2 linked regions of the Caenorhabditis elegans genome follow. The protein of the gene in region 2 interacts with the protein of the main gene of each other region in a pairwise test. Each region holds a gene or a part of one and is shown on either strand. Other genes may lie near its edges. The genes, in order: frm-2 and spdl-1.

Evidence for each region.
Region 1: the proteins of spdl-1 (region 2) and frm-2 interact in a two-hybrid assay, tested with the Caenorhabditis elegans proteins (one study listed by BioGRID).

Annotation. Positions count from the first base shown.
Region 1 is NC_003281.10:5,976,329-5,983,500, forward strand, and holds frm-2 (Moesin/ezrin/radixin homolog 1), read right to left. Parts: upstream 4,989-7,172; coding exon 4,941-4,988; intron 4,192-4,940; exon of another isoform or gene 4,056-4,191; intron 3,536-4,055; coding exon 3,380-3,535; intron 3,146-3,379; coding exon 3,041-3,145; intron 2,986-3,040; coding exon 2,861-2,985; intron 2,816-2,860; coding exon 2,718-2,815; intron 2,662-2,717; coding exon 2,541-2,661; intron 2,045-2,540; coding exon 1,795-2,044; intron 1,687-1,794; coding exon 1,348-1,686; intron 1,112-1,347; coding exon 677-1,111; intron 621-676; coding exon 528-620; downstream 1-527.
Region 2 is NC_003280.10:7,779,981-7,784,085, reverse strand, and holds spdl-1 (Spindly-like protein spdl-1), read right to left. Parts: upstream 2,521-4,105; 5' UTR 2,500-2,520; coding exon 2,464-2,499; intron 2,416-2,463; coding exon 2,173-2,415; intron 2,127-2,172; coding exon 1,803-2,126; intron 1,755-1,802; coding exon 1,122-1,754; intron 1,077-1,121; coding exon 873-1,076; 3' UTR 735-872; downstream 1-734. Other genes in the region: skr-17 (Skp1-related protein), read right to left, coding at 1-121, 171-208; snpc-1.1 (snRNA-activating protein complex subunit 1), read left to right, coding at 2,877-2,974, 3,023-3,107, 3,158-3,235, 3,281-3,349, 3,395-3,604, 3,649-3,967, 4,029-4,105. UniProt on the Caenorhabditis elegans protein: Transient kinetochore component required for chromosome and spindle pole alignment and chromosome segregation during mitosis.

The sequences.
Region 1 (7,172 bases), on a different chromosome or scaffold from region 2:
TGGTGGCTTCAGATGAAGTCCAGTGAAGGGAAGGAGGGCAAAGTACTTACACAGAACACAGTCTGAATTGATCGAAAATCGGAAAGAAATTGGCTGTGCTCAAAACGATCGTCAGTGTTTGTGTAGTGAGTGGGGGTGGCGGGAGAGCATAAGATTTTGTTGGAGGAGGAAAGGAAGGAGAATGAAGACAAATAGTTTCTCTGGTGGAAAAAATGCAAAAAAGTGAAAAAATGAGTGAGAGAAAACAGGATGGAGGGACTGGATTTCAGAGGGGAATATCCCGATTGCACTCGAGCCGGTGCAAATAGACACACGTGGAATGAAAAGAGTGACCAGATTAGAAGACTCTAGCACTTTTCAGGCAGGAGCCGGAGTTTTTGGGTTTTTCGAGAAAATACGAAATTTTTGTATCATTTTATAAAGTGCGATTAGAAATTATCTGAAAATGTTATAAGAAAGAAAATCATTTCATTATATGAAAAATGACTGAAAACAACAAAATAAAGGCTGCAAATGTAAATACATTATCAAAAGTCTGTGACAATTCTCCGTTGATGTTGCATTGGGGGAACAATACGAGATGGCGGAGCACATCCATTTTGTGAATATTTTCGTGGCTCCTGGAAAGTTTATGGAGTATTTGAAAACATACTGTCCATCAATAAATTTAACTTACTTCAAATTGAGTCTGCATTCGAACAGCTGGTTGTGGAGGTTGTGAGCTCTTCCGCTGCTCCGATGCACTGCTCATTCTGGGAATTTTCGAATTTGACTGATGAGCTGGAAGTGGTGGCGGATGTGAGAATGATGTGGATGTTGAGACAACTGGACGTGGAATATATGAAGATGGGGCAGCAGAAGATGATGGAGTATCGAGATTTCCAATTGTTCCAACTGTTATTTTAGTTACATGTGACAGATTATGAGAGGATGATGATGATGATGATGAAGGTGTTAAAGGATCCGAAATAAATGGATTACTGTTGTTTACTGGTTTTTTGAGGTCTGGAGATGTTGGTAATGGAACGTTTTGAATTATTGAATGTGGAGAAGTTGGATCTGATTTTGCATGGGTTCGCTGTTGATCATTGGCTCTTTGTTGCTCAATTATCTGGAAAAAAGTTTGTTTGCATTTTTGAGTTTAAGCTAATTCAGAAATTAAAAAATTTTTAAGTTTTTTAAAAAATTGTATCCGACTTTCCAAAAATGATAGGTTAAACCTTTTGAACTGACTAGTGAGCAAAATTTAAAATTGAACGTTAGATCGATGCCAAATGTTTCATGAATCGAAAAATAAACTCTAAATAATTACTCCAATTTTTGTTGAATTTTTAGCGTGAAATGTACCTGTTGCCTCATTTCAGCTCTCTTTGCATCCCTAATTTGTGCATTTGTCACATGACTTTGCCGTGGACCATATCTCTGACTAGGTCTTCTTTCAAATGAGCATGATTGTCTTCGTGATAATCTTGCTCCTTCCTTATGAATTGTTTCATATTCTGTCCTGCCTCTATACTTAAATGTGCTTCCTAACCGGAAGAACTGAATTTTGCGATTCGCTTGGATTGGGCGAGATTTGAGGCGGAAAAATGCGTGTTGCTCGATGGCACATTTCCAGAAATGTTTTGCCGCTTTTTCAGACGTCAAGTGAAAAACGAACGTGTGCAGCTGGATTTGGCCATTGTTCTGAAAAAGTTACTATTTTTAAAGTTATTTTGCACATTTTTTTCAATTAATAAATTGTACAAAACTGCTACTCTAATCTTCATTAAACTTTTCATTAAAAAAACTCACCGATTGATCAGCATCCTCCTCGACAACCAGTGTAATTTTCTTATTTTTGAAATCCAATTTTTGTAGTTTTTCCCATAAAAAGAGTCCAATTTTCTGTGGACCATCAAATACCAGCATTCCTTGTGGAGTTAAACCCAATCGATATGTATTTCCATCTTTTCCTTCTACAATATGCATATCTACTCCGTACATTTCAATCCATCGTGCCTTATTCAAGTAGTTCAACTCCGCTTGAGCCGGAGTTTGTCCACTGAAAAATGTTATTTTAGTTTTTAGATTGAGAAGCATGAAATTGAAAATAAAACCAATTAGGTAATTTTTTTCTGTCCGAAATGTTTTTATTTGAAACTTAGGCAAATACTGCAATTTTCAAATAAGTGTATTTTTTGTTCTTTAAGATTGAAATTATCAAACATTTGTTATCAAATTTAAAATTGTATCTATGTAGTTTTGATTCTCAAATAGTCAATTTCCTGATTGAAATATTTACGTCTAACCAAGTTTCTCTCAACTTTCAGGTGTCCTCTAATTTGATCCAGCAGAAAATCCCGGGTTTCACACTGATTAGAATATTGATTTCTGGCAAATACCAGAACAATATAATGCATTTCAAAAATTGACATTTTCGGGAAAGTAATATCAAACTCTAAAAGGTTTTCCAGTTTTTAAATTTTTAGACTATATTTTACATGTGCTGTAAAGTTTTCTAACAATCTTTTTTTTAATTTTATAACAAAAAAACTTACCGGCACGCTTTGTACCTCTCCAATATCTCGACTTCCATTTTTTCATCTTGCTCCGGATGAAATCGAAATTCTGAGATAAAGAGGGCTGTATGAAGTTCTGGGTTGTAATCGCCTAGTTCTGCTGAAATTTTTTATGTTTAAAATGCTTAATTTTTTTAGAATTGAAAAAAAACTCACATTGAAGTGCAAAAGCAGCTAGTTCAATTGCTAACTGATGTGGACATTGCAGACGTCCTGAGGAGATATCTTGTTTTATTTGCAAAAAGAATTGATACCTGCAGAAATTTATTTTAAAAAAATACATTACTGATTAAGTATACCTTGTAAGCTCTTCTTTCAAATTGCTAGAAGGTTCCGAAGTAAAGAATTTAACACGAAACCGAAGAGTAAATGGAGGTCCAATTGCCACTTGTTTTGCAACTTTTTTTGTAGGGTCTAGCCAGTGCTGGAAATATAAAAAGGTTTGAAAAAATAAAATAAAGAAATAATTAAATGAATACCTGAACATTGAATGGATCTGTGTACTGCAGGCCAAAATAGTCCCTCTCTTCTAGGTCAAGCGAGTAGAATACTTCTTCGTAAAGTTCACTTCCTACAGCGTTTCTCTGAAAATTTATATTTTGAGATACTAGAATGGATGTTCGAGAATTATAAAAACTTTTTAAAAAATAATTAATCTGCATATGCAACACATTTTGCCACTTTTTTTATTCGCAATAGGTTTATCTATGATTTTTGACTCCATTTTTCTTTGAATTTCAGGCACTAATTTGCCAAAATAGTTCTACAAGAACCGACATTTAATAACAGTTATTTTCAAAAATAAAAAGACCACTCACCGGCACGACAATATTTAAATGTGCTCCATCAAGCAGAAGCACCTTGCACTGAACAAACTTTTTCGTATCAAAGCTTGCATCCTGTGTTTGTGACTTCTGTTGCTGTTGACGATTCCGTGAGAATCTGGCTGATAGACTTCGCAACATCCAGGACATCTGAAAATAACCAAAGAGTTTCTAAGAGTTTAAACCAACTTCTGGATTTGTTTGGCACACAGCTCTGGACTTTTTTAAAAATTGAAACTGTTGATTAGTATTTTTAGAGGTTAACATTTTAATTTAAAAATATTTCATAAACAAAAAATATTTTCAATTTTAAAAAAATCTTTTAGTTTTTGTTTTACTTTCAAAATTGAGAGATTAATTTTGCACATTAAAAAAATTCAAAAAAAACCAAAACTTTACACAACCCAAATTTTTAGAGTTACACTTGTTAGGAGCTATATTTTTTGAGCAGTACTCCAAAACGTCAATGAAGCTAATGATTATATCAAAAACGAATCAGAAATGAACTTTATTAGTGTTTCGAAATTCATATTTTTGAAAAAAAAATAGTAAGAGGGCTCTTACCAAATCAGCTCTTGCAATAACTTCATAGTAAAAAGTAAAACACAAAACAATTCTGAAATTCAACTTTTTATAATAGAAATACAATAAAAGTCAATCAATAGAATTCGACGATTTATGGCGAGCCGGCTGGTTGCCCGGTGCACCGATGTCTGCGTCTCACTATAAACCACTCTATCTCTCTGCTCTTCCCTCTTTTGGCCGGTTACGGTTTTGAACAGAGATGAAGAGCAAACGTAAATAAAGATGAAGAGATCGAGAAAGATGTAGAGACGCAGACAAAGAGATGCGTAAATTAACTTGAGGTTTGATCAATGTTTATCTATATTTTGTCGTTGTTGGGAATGGTATATGGGAATATCTAAAAGTGAGTGTCCGACCGAATCAAATGAATTGGAAAAAAGTAACATGTGTGTGCGCGCAAAGCATCTGTTGCACATCAGGGTCAGCAAAAGAGTTCATTTGGAGCAATAGGTACCAGATGTGGAGCTTTTGGAAAGAGCACCGAAAGAGAATACAGAGAGCAAAATGAAGCTTAGGGACACAGCTAAATTTGAAATGGCACAGGTTTATAAAAACACATTTGCACCAAAATAAGATTTATTGCGTCGGTACATTGGCTGTCTTACAGAATTTTTGAAGTTCTCTTTTCAAATTGCATTTTCTATGCAGTTGTAATCTTGCAATTAAATGTTGCACGACTGACCTTACTACAATTGTGTCAATTTTCCATTTTGTGTGCTCACCCAATGAGCATACAAAATGTTACTTGAATCATATTTTATGCTTGCATGTTACATCTTCATGATTTTAATGTGCTCAAGTCTATATTTTGCAGCATCAAACACTGATGTTCACGCCAAAAAGCTTTTAATAGGTGGTAGGCAGGCATGTAGGCTTAAAGATGACAGTTTTCCAACTCAAATAAACATAGATGTATTCAGTTGGTGAATCGGTAGACGGTAAGTTGCATTAGATTCAACCGAAAACTCACATCTTTTGGCTCTCTTTGAGAGTTCTCATCTTCCTCGTCACTTGACATAATAAAGAATTTCTGTTAAAAACTTAGAATTTCAAAATAAAGTCGAATGGCCGTTTGACTCTTCGAGGGTGAAAAACGAAGAATGGACACAACTGATAATCAGCTGCAACACTCGGAGTGTTGTGTGTCCCTTCTCTTATTCTTATCACTCTTTTTCTTTTCGTTCGATTCTTCTTCTGCTTTTAATGTACCCTTTCTCCACCTACTTTCCTATTTTCAGATTCAGAATTTTATGTTACGACGTGTTTTGTGTGTATTTGTATTACATACGGGGTGTCGATTTTTTGAGGAAAAGTGTCCTAAAAGCTGTTGATATTTTGAGTGAACCGAGTGTGTTGATAAGATGATAAGCGAGGAAAAGGGGTGATATAATCGCAAGTGATGACTGATGACTATTGATAGAAATAAGGAAGAAATGACTCGCTTGGAGGTCATCTCGAGAATCTTCTAGGGATTGAAAAAAAGCTTTGGTAAATTGTCAAATTGAAAAAAAAAATTGTTGACAAGTTTTTGAGCATTGCTGCATGTTCTAACCCCAAAATGTTCAAATACAAATAAAACATATTTAAGATATATTAATAGTTGGACAAAAGTACATAATTGTCACTTTTTTTGTTAATTAATAATTTAAAAGAAAATTTCGAAAAACCTTACTTTTATTGGGAATTGTAATTTCAAATTTTTCGAAAATATGAGGTTATACACCCGAAACAAAACTTACTTTTACAGTCCAATCTCTGATCTTTTTCAGATGTTTCTAAAAAATAGGTGCTCAGCGAGCCGCTGCTCACCGGATATCGTTCGTTTTTTCTGCAAGATTGACAATTGGTTAGTTGGAAAAAGAAGAATCAGTTGAATAAATAGAACGATGCAAAACGGCTGAAATAATAACAAAAAATACATATTGTGAAATATTTGGAGGGGTATGTGTTTCATGAACTGAAAAAGGAAAATAATAAAAAATGAGAAGATTGATACTAATATCCCAATTTATTTTAGATAGAAGAACATTAGAAAAAAGGTCGAACGAATCTTCCAGAATTTGGAAATTTACAAATACGAACTGGAATTTGAAAAAAATCATTTGAATAGAGTATTAATTTTAAAATTTTTATGTACATAGATACAATTACTGAAAAAGTGAAAATGTTTGATTCAACAATTATTCAAATTGGTACATCATACTTAAACTAAAGTACAACAATACTAATAAACAATTCGTTATTATAAAAACAAGTTTCAAATCATTCCTTTAGATTAGGAAGTTTAAAAAAGTGGCTGAAAATTTTGAAAACAAGCTTTAACCCCATTTTTTTTCTAGGTAAAAACAAGAAAAGTGAAAAAAATCTAATATCACAATTGCTTTTTTAATGAAAAATCTAGTTTTTCCTAGTCCTGCATTAACTAGTAGAGAAACTTTGATGTTTGGAAATTCGAAATTTGTTATCCAAATTTCGATTTTCGTGCTAAATATTTAAAACCAAAATCCAACTTTTTCTCGGAGAATAAATAAAAAATGAATAGATATATCATAAAAGAATAACTTAAGACGAACTTGGCCGAGTTAATCGAATCAAGAGGAACGTCCACACCTCCGAGATATCATGTGATTCTAGGAGAGTTTAGAGATGGATCAGTCAAAAAATGGCCTTGTAAAGCGGAAAAGACAGATGGAAAAGGTTGTAGAGACAGGCGGCTGTGTGGAGAAGTTGGAGGTAGGATATGCGAGAATAGTATATGAAGTGGAGAGATTTAGACAGAAATGGGACCCTCGAAAATGAAAAGAATAAGTGGGATGGGACTGTGCGCGAGAATTACAAATGTTATTCGAGTGGGTTGAGGAAGTGATGACTGTGAAAACAAATGGTAAATAAGTTTTGGAGTGAGAGGAGATAGAATTGAAACGCGTAGAGACGCAGGAATAAAAAGTGAATAGAAACTCTGTGTCAAGAAAAGAAATAGTTAACCACATGTGAGTGTTGAAAGTATTTGTTGAATAGAAGTGGATGTTTAGGTGAACAAGGATTTTATGAAAAAAGAGAAAGAATGTTTGAAGAGAAAATGAAAGTTTAAAATTGGACAAAAAAGTATACAGAAGGGTTACTGTATATCTAGTGAACTTTTTTTTCGAACTTTGGAATCGTATGAATTACTGTTCACTCCTGTTATAACTGGTTGGTAGCC
Region 2 (4,105 bases):
TCTGATGGTTGCAGCAAGTGTACTTGAGAGGAGGAGGGCCCGGATGTCTCCCTGCAACAAATGTCCATCTGAGGATGTCAGTTGAAGTAATCGAGGTGGCGGACCGGACGGCTTTGGTACACTAAACGAAATATTAGATAATTATTTTTATCAAAATGTTATAAAAATACCTTGGTGGTGCTCGTTTTGTATTGTTCTTCTTCGGCATCTGCTTTCCGGACGAAATGTGATGTCTGAAATGGAAAAATTAGAAAGGAAACGAAATTTTGCTGAGAAAATGATCTTAAAAACTTTTTGTCGAACACCATTCGCCACAGAGCGCATTTGCGTTCTTGTTCTACTTCATTCGGCGGCAAATTCAAATTTTAAAACACCCTCGCACAACACAAAAAATCATCGTAAATATTAAAAACGATCAATATCATGCGAACCCCACACCAGAACAAATTCGAACGGTTTACAATTTTTAAATTTTAAGCTCTCTCAAATGTTACTAGTAGTAAGAACTGAACCTATATCGAAAGCATATCCATACGAGATCTCCGAAGATTGTAGGGAAGAGAAAATCTGGAAAATATTTTTCTATATTCTACCCCATATTTACAATAATAAATATTAAAAATATATAAATCAATAAGTGATCGTGTAATATCGATAGGGTTTCGCGCTCCACTGCACTCCCGCCAGCGGCTCTATCAAGTTCTTGAACATCAACAATCTAAGAATGAGCGTTATAATAAAAATAATTTTATTTGACATGCATTAAATAGGAAACATTGTAGAATAATCGACAAAACTTGGTGAATAGAGGGGACGAGATCAATACAGGCGGTTTTATATGAATACGAGATGACTACGAACATGATGTTTACTCAGTTTTCCTTTGTTTCTGAGGTTGATGGCATTTGAAGAACAGCCGGTTTGAATTTTGGAACGGGCTCGGACAGTTTGATATAGTTGTAACGCGGCGTCGGAGTCGCCAATTTCTTTTCAGCTTGAGCTTTCATACGACGTTCTGCCCATTCTGAAGTATCATCTTTGATGGAGGAACGAGTGGTGAATTTAGCTGCTGGTTTCTGGAAAAATAATTATTTATAGTGAAAAGTTGCACTTTTATCTACCTGTGGCGTAACGGCAATACTGGATAATGAATGCCCTAATTGAGGCATGGGTTCCACGTTTTTCGGTTTAATGAAGAATGATGGTCGTCCATTGTTAAGAGTTTTCAGAGGAGCAGCAAGAAGCGGGTGCTCGAAATCCTTATTGACAACTGGTGCAGCTTTTCTGTGAGCACATTTATTGTCGAATTGTAGTTGCACAATGTCCGCTTTGAGATTTTCTACTTCCTGTTGCAATCCACGAATAATTGTCACGTACTTTTCGTTGTCCTTCATCAAACCGTCAAAACCTCCTTTCACGCTCGCAATTGACAATTCGAACGACTTGAAGTAGCCGGTAATCAACGCTCCCACTTCGCGTTTTGGAATTGACCTCATTTTAATGAACATTCTTTCCCACAAATGAACCCTTTCCGTTTCCAGGTGACAAACTCTGTCTCTGAGACGACGCATCTCTTTGACATCAATATCACTTGTGGTCATTCGGGTAACGTTGAATCTTTTTGTGGATGACCGAAGTCTTTCTTCGACTTCTTCTACTTCCATTCGAAGACGTTTTACCATCCCTTTCAGTGCTCGATTCTCTCCATGAAGAACTTTCAGGTCTTCTTCAACCTTCCGCTCGGCATCAATAACCTGAAGAATATTAAAAAAAATGCAGTTAATTGATATTTTTTAACCTACCTCAGAAAACATTGAATTTCCGCGTGCCGCTAATTTTCCTTCATGGGAGTTTCTCTCATCAAAAAGCTCTCCTTCCAATCTGGCAATTTCCTCATCACGCGTCTCCATATGATTTTTGAGGTCCCGAATATGATCCATCATCGACTCAATTTCATCTTTCAAGTTGACCGCTTCTTTTTCGAGTTCGGCGTTTCGTTCGTAAAGAGCAGTCGCCGTCTCTTTGTATTTCTGACAATCTTCGCTAATACGAAGCATTTCAGATTCTCCGAAGGAATTGGAATCATCATGTTCGGGAATCACTGATCCGTTGGCAAACTCCTTATTCTGAGAATTCAATATATTAATGTTGCCCACAATGATGAAAACCTACAATTTTTTCGAGTTTGTCGATCTCACTACGCAGTGAATCGATGAGAGCGTCCCGATCAAGAATTGTGGCGTTTTTTCCGTCCATCTCAACATGAAGATCGCGAAGTTGTTCACTCAATTCTTGTGCACGTTCTTCGAGTGAAAGTTTGGAAGAACAAGGTTTTCCCTGATTTTTGAGATCGTCTTCCATCTCCTCGAGCATTTCATCTTTTTGACGGAGAATTTTCTTGAGCCTCTCAACGTCCTGAAATATTAGGTTTAGTTGGTAATAGATGAAATGATAAAACGTTACAGCAAGTAATTGGAGCTTCTCCTCGTCGTCAGGCATACTGATTGAAGTTCGATTCTTCTGAAAACATGAAAATGTTTCGATAGAAAACGATCAGTAGAATATTTTTCACGGCAACACGATTTATAAGAACGTTTCACGCAGATCTATAGCTTTTGATGTTTTAATAAAGCGTAAAATTGATTGCGAATATATTTAAACTAATTTTATGGGAATATTTTGAGCTAAATTATATCAAAACGATTGAAAAACAATATTTTTAGGTAAATTGAGGCGCAACTCATTTTGAAATGCGTTGAATACCGCTGGTTCCCGCCGAGAATTGGTTGTTCACGATAGAGCGCACTTGCATGTTTTTATTTTCGTCAATTATTTTCGGATTTATTTCTGAAGATTCAAGGAAAAAACGAGTCGCAATGGCTTCTGGAGGTATTCCCACGCCATTTATGGGAACTGGAGTTAAACAAGATCTTCATTTATTGTGCAACAAGTTTATATCTATGGGATCCAACAGGTATAGTTAGAAAATGTATTATTTGATGGAAAATCTTGATTAATTAAGAATTCGAGACTTTGCTGATGTTTTTCGGGATATGCATTTTGAGACCATTCTTCATTATCGATTAAATCCTGCCGAATGCTTAGAGGTAGCTTTATTTTGATTTTATTTAGTCTATTATAATATTCCGGCTTTCAGTTTACTGAATACCTGTTACAACACGCAGCAATGTATTTCGGAAAAGTGAATGAAGTTGGAGCATTCAGGGCATTCAAGGTTTGAAATAGAAGTAAAAATAAGTCTGAAATGTTATATTTTCAGGAGAGGCTATTCGGAGTTTATGTTTGCTATGCGTTGTACAATTTGCAGCCAGTTGATCATGTCTGTCAGGTGATTAATTCTAAGTTTAATTTAGTTTTAAAAAATTTAATTCAGATTCCGGTCACTGCGGTACAATTCGAAGAGCTTCTCGAATTTCAAAAATCTTTAGAAGTCGAAAAACTTCTTGAACCAATTGCGGCTCTCAAAATGCTTATTCTGAAGAAAGCGTTTAGAATTAAAGTGTTTCAGTCGACATATGATCCGGCAACCCACAAAAAATACCTTGCCGAGGAAGAGTTGCCCTATTTTAACAAAATTCCAGTTGTAAGTAAGTTAAATTATTGGAATTTTTTCATAAACAGTTTCAGGAGCCGTTTTCCAGTGTTACGAAAATGCTCAGTTCTGATATTATGACGGAATTATCATTTATTCACGGAGTTTACACAGAGGCTAAGCAAAAACTTGGACTAAGTGATACTCTAACGGGGCTCAAATCACCATTACACGAAATCAAGGGCATTGTCGAAAAATATAAAGAACAGTTCGAAAGTTCTCCAACAAATCCAGAAATTAGTAGCGCTCCAGAGGAAACAGCTGGTTCAAGCAGATCAACTTTGAGAAGTAAAGCATATGCTGAAGGACTAAAACACACTAGACAAAGAAGGCATCTTGATCCAAACATGGAAGGTACATTTATTACACGAAAATATGTTTTTTTTTTTCAAAAGTCAGCGTTCAACTTTTGCAGAAAACTTCAAACATCTTACCGCAAGAACGTTTGGTGACATCGCCCAGGAATGTTTGGATGATAATGATGCTCAGGTT